Linked DNA regions of Caenorhabditis elegans. The protein of the gene in region 2 purifies or fractionates together with the protein of the main gene of each other region. This does not show direct contact. Each region holds a gene or a part of one and is shown on either strand. Other genes may lie near its edges.

The links. The genes of interacting proteins can lie anywhere in the genome.
Region 1: the proteins of abhd-11.2 (region 2) and dnj-30 fractionate together in Caenorhabditis elegans (co-fractionation; one large-scale study listed by BioGRID). This does not show direct contact.

The regions. Positions count from the first base shown.
Region 1 is NC_003279.8:2,719,837-2,723,590, reverse strand, and holds the start of dnj-30 (J domain-containing protein), read left to right. Parts: upstream 1-2,115; 5' UTR 2,116-2,121; coding exon 2,122-2,151; intron 2,152-2,600; coding exon 2,601-2,921; intron 2,922-3,754. Other genes in the region: Y71F9B.6 (Cyclin N-terminal domain-containing protein), read left to right, coding at 827-1,072.
Region 2 is NC_003279.8:12,181,574-12,185,327, reverse strand, and holds the start of abhd-11.2 (sn-1-specific diacylglycerol lipase ABHD11), read left to right. Parts: upstream 1-2,073; 5' UTR 2,074-2,159; coding exon 2,160-2,246; intron 2,247-2,299; coding exon 2,300-2,576; intron 2,577-2,632; coding exon 2,633-2,752; intron 2,753-2,810; coding exon 2,811-3,018; intron 3,019-3,754. Other genes in the region: nsph-1.2 (Nematode Specific Peptide family), read right to left, coding at 1,463-1,640.

The DNA.
Region 1 (3,754 bases), 9.5 Mb from region 2:
CTCGTTTAGCAATTAAGCTATGCGCCTTTAAGGTTACTGTAGGCAATTTTCAAACTTTTTAAATGCATTTTCTAGTCGATTTGAATCGAAAATCTTTTTTTTCCATTGAAAATCTAAATTTTTAGAGCGACTTTTAGCCCAAAAAGCTTTAATCTTAGTTTATAATCGACATAATGCAACAAAAAATAGAAAATAGCATAAATTACGTCTAAAAAATGATTTAAAAGCTTAAACTTTGAGAAACTGTCGGAAAATTCAAGAAAAAATCTGAAAATGGTTAAAGGGAGGCCACATTTGGAGGAGGATGGGTCTCGCCGCGAATCTCGTTGAGCAATTAAGCTATGCGCCTTTAAGGTTACTGTAGACAATTTTAAGTTTTTAAAACAGTTTCTAATCGATTTAAATCGAAAATCTTTTTTTCCAGAGAAAATCTAAATTTTTAGAGCGAATTTTAGGCCAAAAAACTTTAATTTTAGTTTATTATCGACATAATGCAACGAAAAATAGAAAATAGCATAAATTACGTCTAAAAAATTATTTAAAAGCTTAAACTTTGAGAAACTGTCGGAAAATTCAAGAAAAAATCTGAAAATGGTTACAGGGAGGCCACATTTGGAGGAGGATGGGTCTCGCCGCGAAATTTGTAAAGCAATTAGGGTATGCGCCTTTAAGGTTACTGTAGGCAATTTTAAAAATTTTAAAATATTTTATAGTCGATTTTAAGCTAAAATCAGTTTATAATTATTATCAAAGCTGGTTTTTTTTTAAATTTCAATTTTTTTGAGATTTTCATATCTATTTAAATCTAAAATCAATTTTTTTCCAGGGTCTAATCTCAAAAGTCAATCGAAAATGTGTCGCCGGAGCCGCTCTCCTCGTCGCCCTTAAAATGAATGATTACAAGAAGTCTACGATCAAATCGTACATCGAACAGGCCGAAGATCAGCTCCGCGAGCCGAAATCCGATCTTTTGGCTTATGAGCTTCCAATTTGCTCGGTGCTCCAGTTCAGGCTTCAGCCAACAATTGATGAGATTCAACCACATGTAGATAGATTGCAATTTGAGATGTGAAATATTGTTATTATGTAAACGCAGAAAAATGTGCTTTTTTGAAATCGTGGTGCAAGCGCGCTCCACGGATAATAGTTGGGTCTCCTTAAAGGTGGACTACGCTCAGTGGAGAAATTGCTTTAAAACACGCCTATGGGGCCACAATGACCGAATATCATGATATAAAAATTCAAAAAAATTTTCTAGATTTTATATAATTTTTTGAAAATTGGAAAAATAACAGTTTTCACCTAATTATTTTTGAATTTCCACCAATCGGATTCGTTCGATTGAGCGCGCTTGCATTATTTTTATTAATTAATTTTATTTATTCTCGTTATTTGACTGATTTTCTTCATTTTCTATGTTTTTTCCTCGGAAAATGAAAGAAATAAAAAAGACAAACGCAAAATGTTTGTTAAAAAGTAATTGAAAATGAGTAAAACTGTGAATATACTAATTTCAGGCTTGTTGTCGTCGGAACTCAGAATATCAGAGTTTTAATCATTTTCAATTCAAAAATAATTGGTTGAAAACTGTGATTTTTTCAATTTTCAAAAAATCATAAAATCTAGAAAATTTTTTTGAATTTTTTTATCATGATATTCTGTCATTGTGGCCCCATGGGCATGTTTTAAAGCAATTTCCCCACTGAGCGTAGTCCACCTTTAAGTATTGGCGAGAAAACCGTAATTTCAAAAGTTTTCAATGATTTTTCGTTGGTTTCGAGGTGAAAATCATCGAAAATTGTTAAAAATATTTAGATTTGGCCGCCATTTCTAACGAGACCCAACTTTTAGCAGAGGAGCGCGTTTGCAACTTGGTTTTAAAATACGGATTTTTCCGCGTTTAAATAATATGCAATTAGTTTTTATGTACTCAATCCATGACCCTTTTGAGATTATTTCTAGTCGACATTTTTCAAATTTAATAAATTTGGTTTTTTTTCCCTTATTTTTTCTTCAGATTTTCGATTTTTTTGCGTTGAATGTCGCTATTGTCTATATATTTTTTTCCTTAATATTTTTCCTAAAATCTAATTTTAAAAAAAAAATTTTTTCCAGCAAAAAATGTCCCAGTTTGAGTCATTTTATCAGGATGTAAGTTTTTTTTTTCAAAAAATTTGAAAAAAGTGTACATTTCTTGGTTTTTCTGGAATGTTTCGAATTTTCAGACAGTTTTCCGCGAAAAAATATTAATTTTATGTGGAAATATCGATTTTAGGGCCAATTTTGAAGTTTTAGCGAGTTTTTTCAGCTGGCTATCAATTATAAAACTATAAAAAAAATAAAATTTCGCCAAAACTTTGAAATTGGCTTCAAAATCGCGAATTCCAAATAAAATTTTTATTTTTTAAAGAAAACTTGGCTGAAATTTTTAAAAATCCAAAGAAAAACCACAAAATATGGCCAGAAAATGCGCGGGAATTCAAAAATAATTCTCAAAAATTTTTAAATTCAAGAGAAAAATTTGAAAAAAAACCAATTTTTTTTTGAAAAAGTTGAAAAAAACCATTAAAAATTTTAAAAACATTTTTAAATTTTTCCAGCTAAAATCCACGGAGCAACAGGACGCGGCTCTTACTTCTGAGCAACAAATCGAGCGACTTTTGAAGCCCGGTTCCACATATTTGAACCTTAACCCATATGAAGTGCTCCAAATCGATTTGGACACGGATATCGAGGCGGCTAAGAAGAAATACAAGAAGCTCTCACTACTTGTGCATCCGGATAAAAATCCAGATGATCGAGAACGTGCTGACAAAGCTTTTGATATTGTGAAGAAGGCGATTAAGCAAATGGAGGATCCGATTGAGTTGAATCGATGCAAAGATTGTTATACGGAGGGAAAAGCTCGGCTTGCTATTGTGGTACGGAGCAACTATGAAGATTTGCATGGAAATTCTGAGAAAATTTTTTAAAAAATTGGATTTTTCTGGAAAAAAAAAATGCCGAAATTTGGATTTTTTTTTTCGATTTTTTAATCAAAAAAAACGAAAGAAAAATCACAAAAATTCATCCCATTTTTCTCATTATTTTGTAGTTTTTCACTGAAAATCGAAAAATCCAAAAAAATTTTTTTTTAGAAAATGAACAAAAAAAATTCTAATTTATGTTGATGTGAAAATAAAATAGAAAAAGCCAAAAATTTGCAATTTTCGCAAAATATTTTTTGAACAAATCTGAAGACAATTATTTTTTATATTTTTTTTCTTCAAAAAATGAGGAAAAAAAACTAGAAAAAAACAAAATTACTGATATAAACCAAAAGCGTATTATTTTAAAAATAATTTTCCAAAAAATTGAAAAAAAGTAAATTATCAAAAATTTACTTTTTTAACGTTTTTTTGGAAAAAAATCGTTTTTTTCTTGATTATTTTGTGAAGAAAACGTAGTTTCGCAAAAAATTTCATATAATTCGGAAATTTTTCGTTTTTTTGTAAAAATTGTTTTTTTAAAATTCACTCGAAAATCCAAGACCACGAAAAAAATTAGTTTGTATCCTAAAAATTAAAAAAAAAAATTTTTGAAGCAAATTTTAATCAAAAAATTATGTTTCTTCGAAGAAAAATTGTAATTTTATACAAAAATTATGAAAAGTGAACGAAATTCGAGGGAATATATATATATATATAAAATTTTAAAAAATACATTTTTCAATTTTTTTGTTGAAAAAAACCAAAAAAAAACCACAATCCACAGT
Region 2 (3,754 bases):
CGATGAAACCCCGGAAAAATCCAAAAATCAAAAAAAAAACAGTTTTTTTTCAGAATTTTTGAAAAAAAATCGCAAAAAAATTTTTTTTTCTTTAAAGTCGAATTTTTTCAAAAAAAATCAATAGTAAAATCGTAGCGTTTTCAGTGATTTTTCCCCCGTAAACCTACAACTAAACAAAAATAATCCGATCGAAAACTGGTTTCCCCGCAGGGTTTGTGTCATCGGTAATACCTATTGCATGAGGAAGTGTCTAAAAATAGGGCTGAAAATGTCAAAAATGATCTACTGATAAGGTGAAAGTGCTGAAAATTGAATTTTTTACACCTTTTTTGATAAGAAAATACTGTGCTCTACCGACCTTTTTGTATTCTTCTGAACATTATCAATAGAGCGCGATTGAAGATTCACCTCGAATTTTGCGAAAACCCTTGAGCGCCCACTTTTTAATGTTTCGATACATGATTTTGGTGTAGAAATGTAGAATTTTTGAATCAAAAACTAGAAAAAAAATAAAAAGTTCACGACTTTTTTGAATTTTCAGCTAATTTTTAGCGGGAAATTCAAAATTTTTATTCAAAAAATGGAAAATTACCGATTTTTCTAAATTTTGGGGAAAACCTGCTGATGGGAAGTCGCGTAAGTAAAAACGCAAACAAAAAACTGTCTGGGCAATTTCGGAAAATCAAGGAAAAACCAATAGAAGTTGAAAAAAAAATTCTAAAATTCAAACGCGCTCCATTGCACTTGGCTTTCCAAATGCGCGGGAATTCAATTTTAAGCTTAAAATATAAGTTTTATAAAATTTTAAAAACGTTTTAATACTGATATTCGTTTGTTTTAGTACCAAAAAAGTATTTCAAGGCAATTTTCTCCAACTTTTACTCTAAATAACTCTTAAAACGACCGTAAAATAAAGACAGACACCAAAAATGATGGGAAATATGACGAGTAGATTGATGATGAATGAGATAAGGTACAGGACAGAATGAAGTTGTAAATCTTTATGCAGTCAGAGGTCAAATACCTCCGCGGAAATATGAATAACAAAGGGTGGGCGGAAATCGAACGTTTCCGGAAGTTTTTTTTGGAAAATTTAAATGTTTTCTATTACCCATACTGGAAATGTTGCGATTTTTGCGCCGAAAAATACAAAAATACGGTTCCTAGTTTCGAAACGACAAATTTTTGTTAAATGTGAAAAGGTGTGCGCCTTTGAGGATTACTGTAGTTTTGAAATTGTGTACATGCAGATTTTTATCGACTTTTGTGTTGTTTTCGATAAATTTATGATTAAAACCCAAGTATAACAATAAAAACTCCTGGGTTTTATTAAGTCGCGGGAAAAACTACAGAAATTTCGCAAACCCTGGTTTCTCCGTAATATTTATAATTTTTAGCAATTTAAGCTGAAATTAATGGTTTTTTCTAATAAAAATCATTGAAAATTTACTAAAAAGCTTACAGGTGTTCGATATCTCGGTGACAACAAAGAAGCATCCGGTAGGGAGGGGCGAAAAGCTGTTCGGTATACATACATATATGTGTCTATTGACAAAGCTGGCTGGCAACAGGCAAAAACACGTCAAGCGATTGCGGGAAAAAGCAGGGAAAGGCACAGAATTCCAAACTTTTATTGCCATTTTTCAAATTATTTGCCCTGTTCCGCAAAAAACTTTGGGAAAATGGTTTTCTGTAACCTGAAAAGTCACAGTTTCCCATGTAAAAATTTCGATTAATATACAATTTTTCGGCGGAATGTGTACGTCGGCGAGTGTAGTGCGCAGCGGCGGAACCACCGTGTATTGATAATATAAAATTGTTGCTGGCGGAGATTAAAAATGTGTTGAAGACCGCCGGGAATGAATCATTCGGAAAAGGGCGGCCGCACAAACAAAATATCGGTTAAAATATGGAAAAGTTATGATTTGAATAGAGTGACGTCATGAAAATATATGATTTTTTACCGTTTTCTAGCGGAAAAATCATTTATGACAAAATTTTGCAACAACTATATTTAAATTCCCTCTCTTTGCTTTCCCTGTGGATTTACGATAAACAAAGCGCGCTAGCGTTATTTCGGAGTATCGTAGCACTGTACTTTTTATTTATTTTTGTTCACTTTTTTCTGTTTTTAGCAGGTTTTAAAACCGGTTTTCACAATGCTAGTAAGCCGAAATTTAGCGAAAACGATTTCCAATTCAAAAAATGCAAAAAATATTCACACTTCTTGCCGAAAATTCGCACCGGTAAGTTTTAAAATCAGTTTTTTCTCAAAAAACCAAAAATATATATTTTCCAGGTTCCCATGACATACGCCAGCTACTCATCACCAGAACTCGATAGAAATTCTCCTTTAGTAATTGTTCATGGATTATTCGGGCAAAAACAGAACTGGAACTCTGTCGGAAAGGCGCTGCACAAGAAGTTAGAGGCTCCAGTGTATGCGGTAGACGTGCGGAATCATGGAAGCTCACCGCATACCGAAACTATGTCTTATACAGAAATGGCAGAGGATTTAGTATTATTTATTGATAAAGTCAAGGAGGAAACCAAGAAAACTAGGGTTAATTTATTAGGTAAAATTTTGAAAAATTAAAAAAAAAAATTTTTATATATATTTTTTTAATTTCAGGCCACTCAATGGGTGGAAAAATTGTCATGAGGCTTGCAATCGACTCAAAATGGAGTGATCGAATCGAAAAATTGATTGTGGAGGATGTATCACCCAAGGGATATTCCAGGCGGCATTTAGGTCTGAAAAAAATTTTTTTTTTAATTTTTTCAAAAATCCCCCAATTTTCTTTTTCCAGAATTCCGAGAGCTCATCAAAACCATGCGAAACGTGGATCTTTGTCGCACTCGAAAGGAAATTCTCAAGGATCTTGAATCGGCGATTCCAGACTTGGCAATGCGCCAATTTATTCTCACAAATTTGCAGCCGTCGAGTGAAAATGAGGGGCAAATGGAGTGGAAAATCAATATTAATACGATCGATAGCCATGTGGATGAGATTTTGGGGTACTGGAGAGAAATCTGAAGCTTTTTAGCGAAAAATTGACGAAAATTGCCGAAAACCTAGAAATTGTGTTAAAAACTTTATTTTTGCACATTCTGGTAGATTTTTAGCTAAATTTCTATTTTTTGAGCAAAAATTGTCTGAAAAAGCGCATAAATTTACAAAAAAAAAACCATCTAGAAAATTAAAACAATTTTTTTCGATTTTCTAAAAATTGTCGAAAATTTCAAATTTTTTGTTCAATTTTGATTTTTTGAAATATCAAATAAAAATTTGAAATTTTTTTTAAATCTTAATCTCATTTTAGACGGTTTTCTGAAAAAAAAATTGAAAAAACCTAAAAAAAACTTAATTTTTTTCCTATTTTTTAGAAACATTTCAAATTAAAAAAAAATCTCGTTTTTTGTTCTTTTTTTCCTGAAAAATTAATTTGTTTAAGTTAGAAATAGAAAAACAAAAATAGGAAAAAATCATCTACAGAATTAAAACAATGTTGAATTTTTCGAATTTTAAAATATCAAAAAAGGTAAATTTTTCCAATTTTTCGAAAAAAAATTTTTTTTTAATGTTTTAAATCGTTTTGGACTTTTTTTTCTGAAAAAAAGTTTTTGAAATTTTAAGGAAAAAAACTTTAAAAATATTTTGGTTAAAAAATAAAAAACAAACAAATTTTTTTCTGACCTTTTTTTCTTAGTTAAAAATAAAGCTAATTTTTTTTCAATTATGAAACAAAGATTT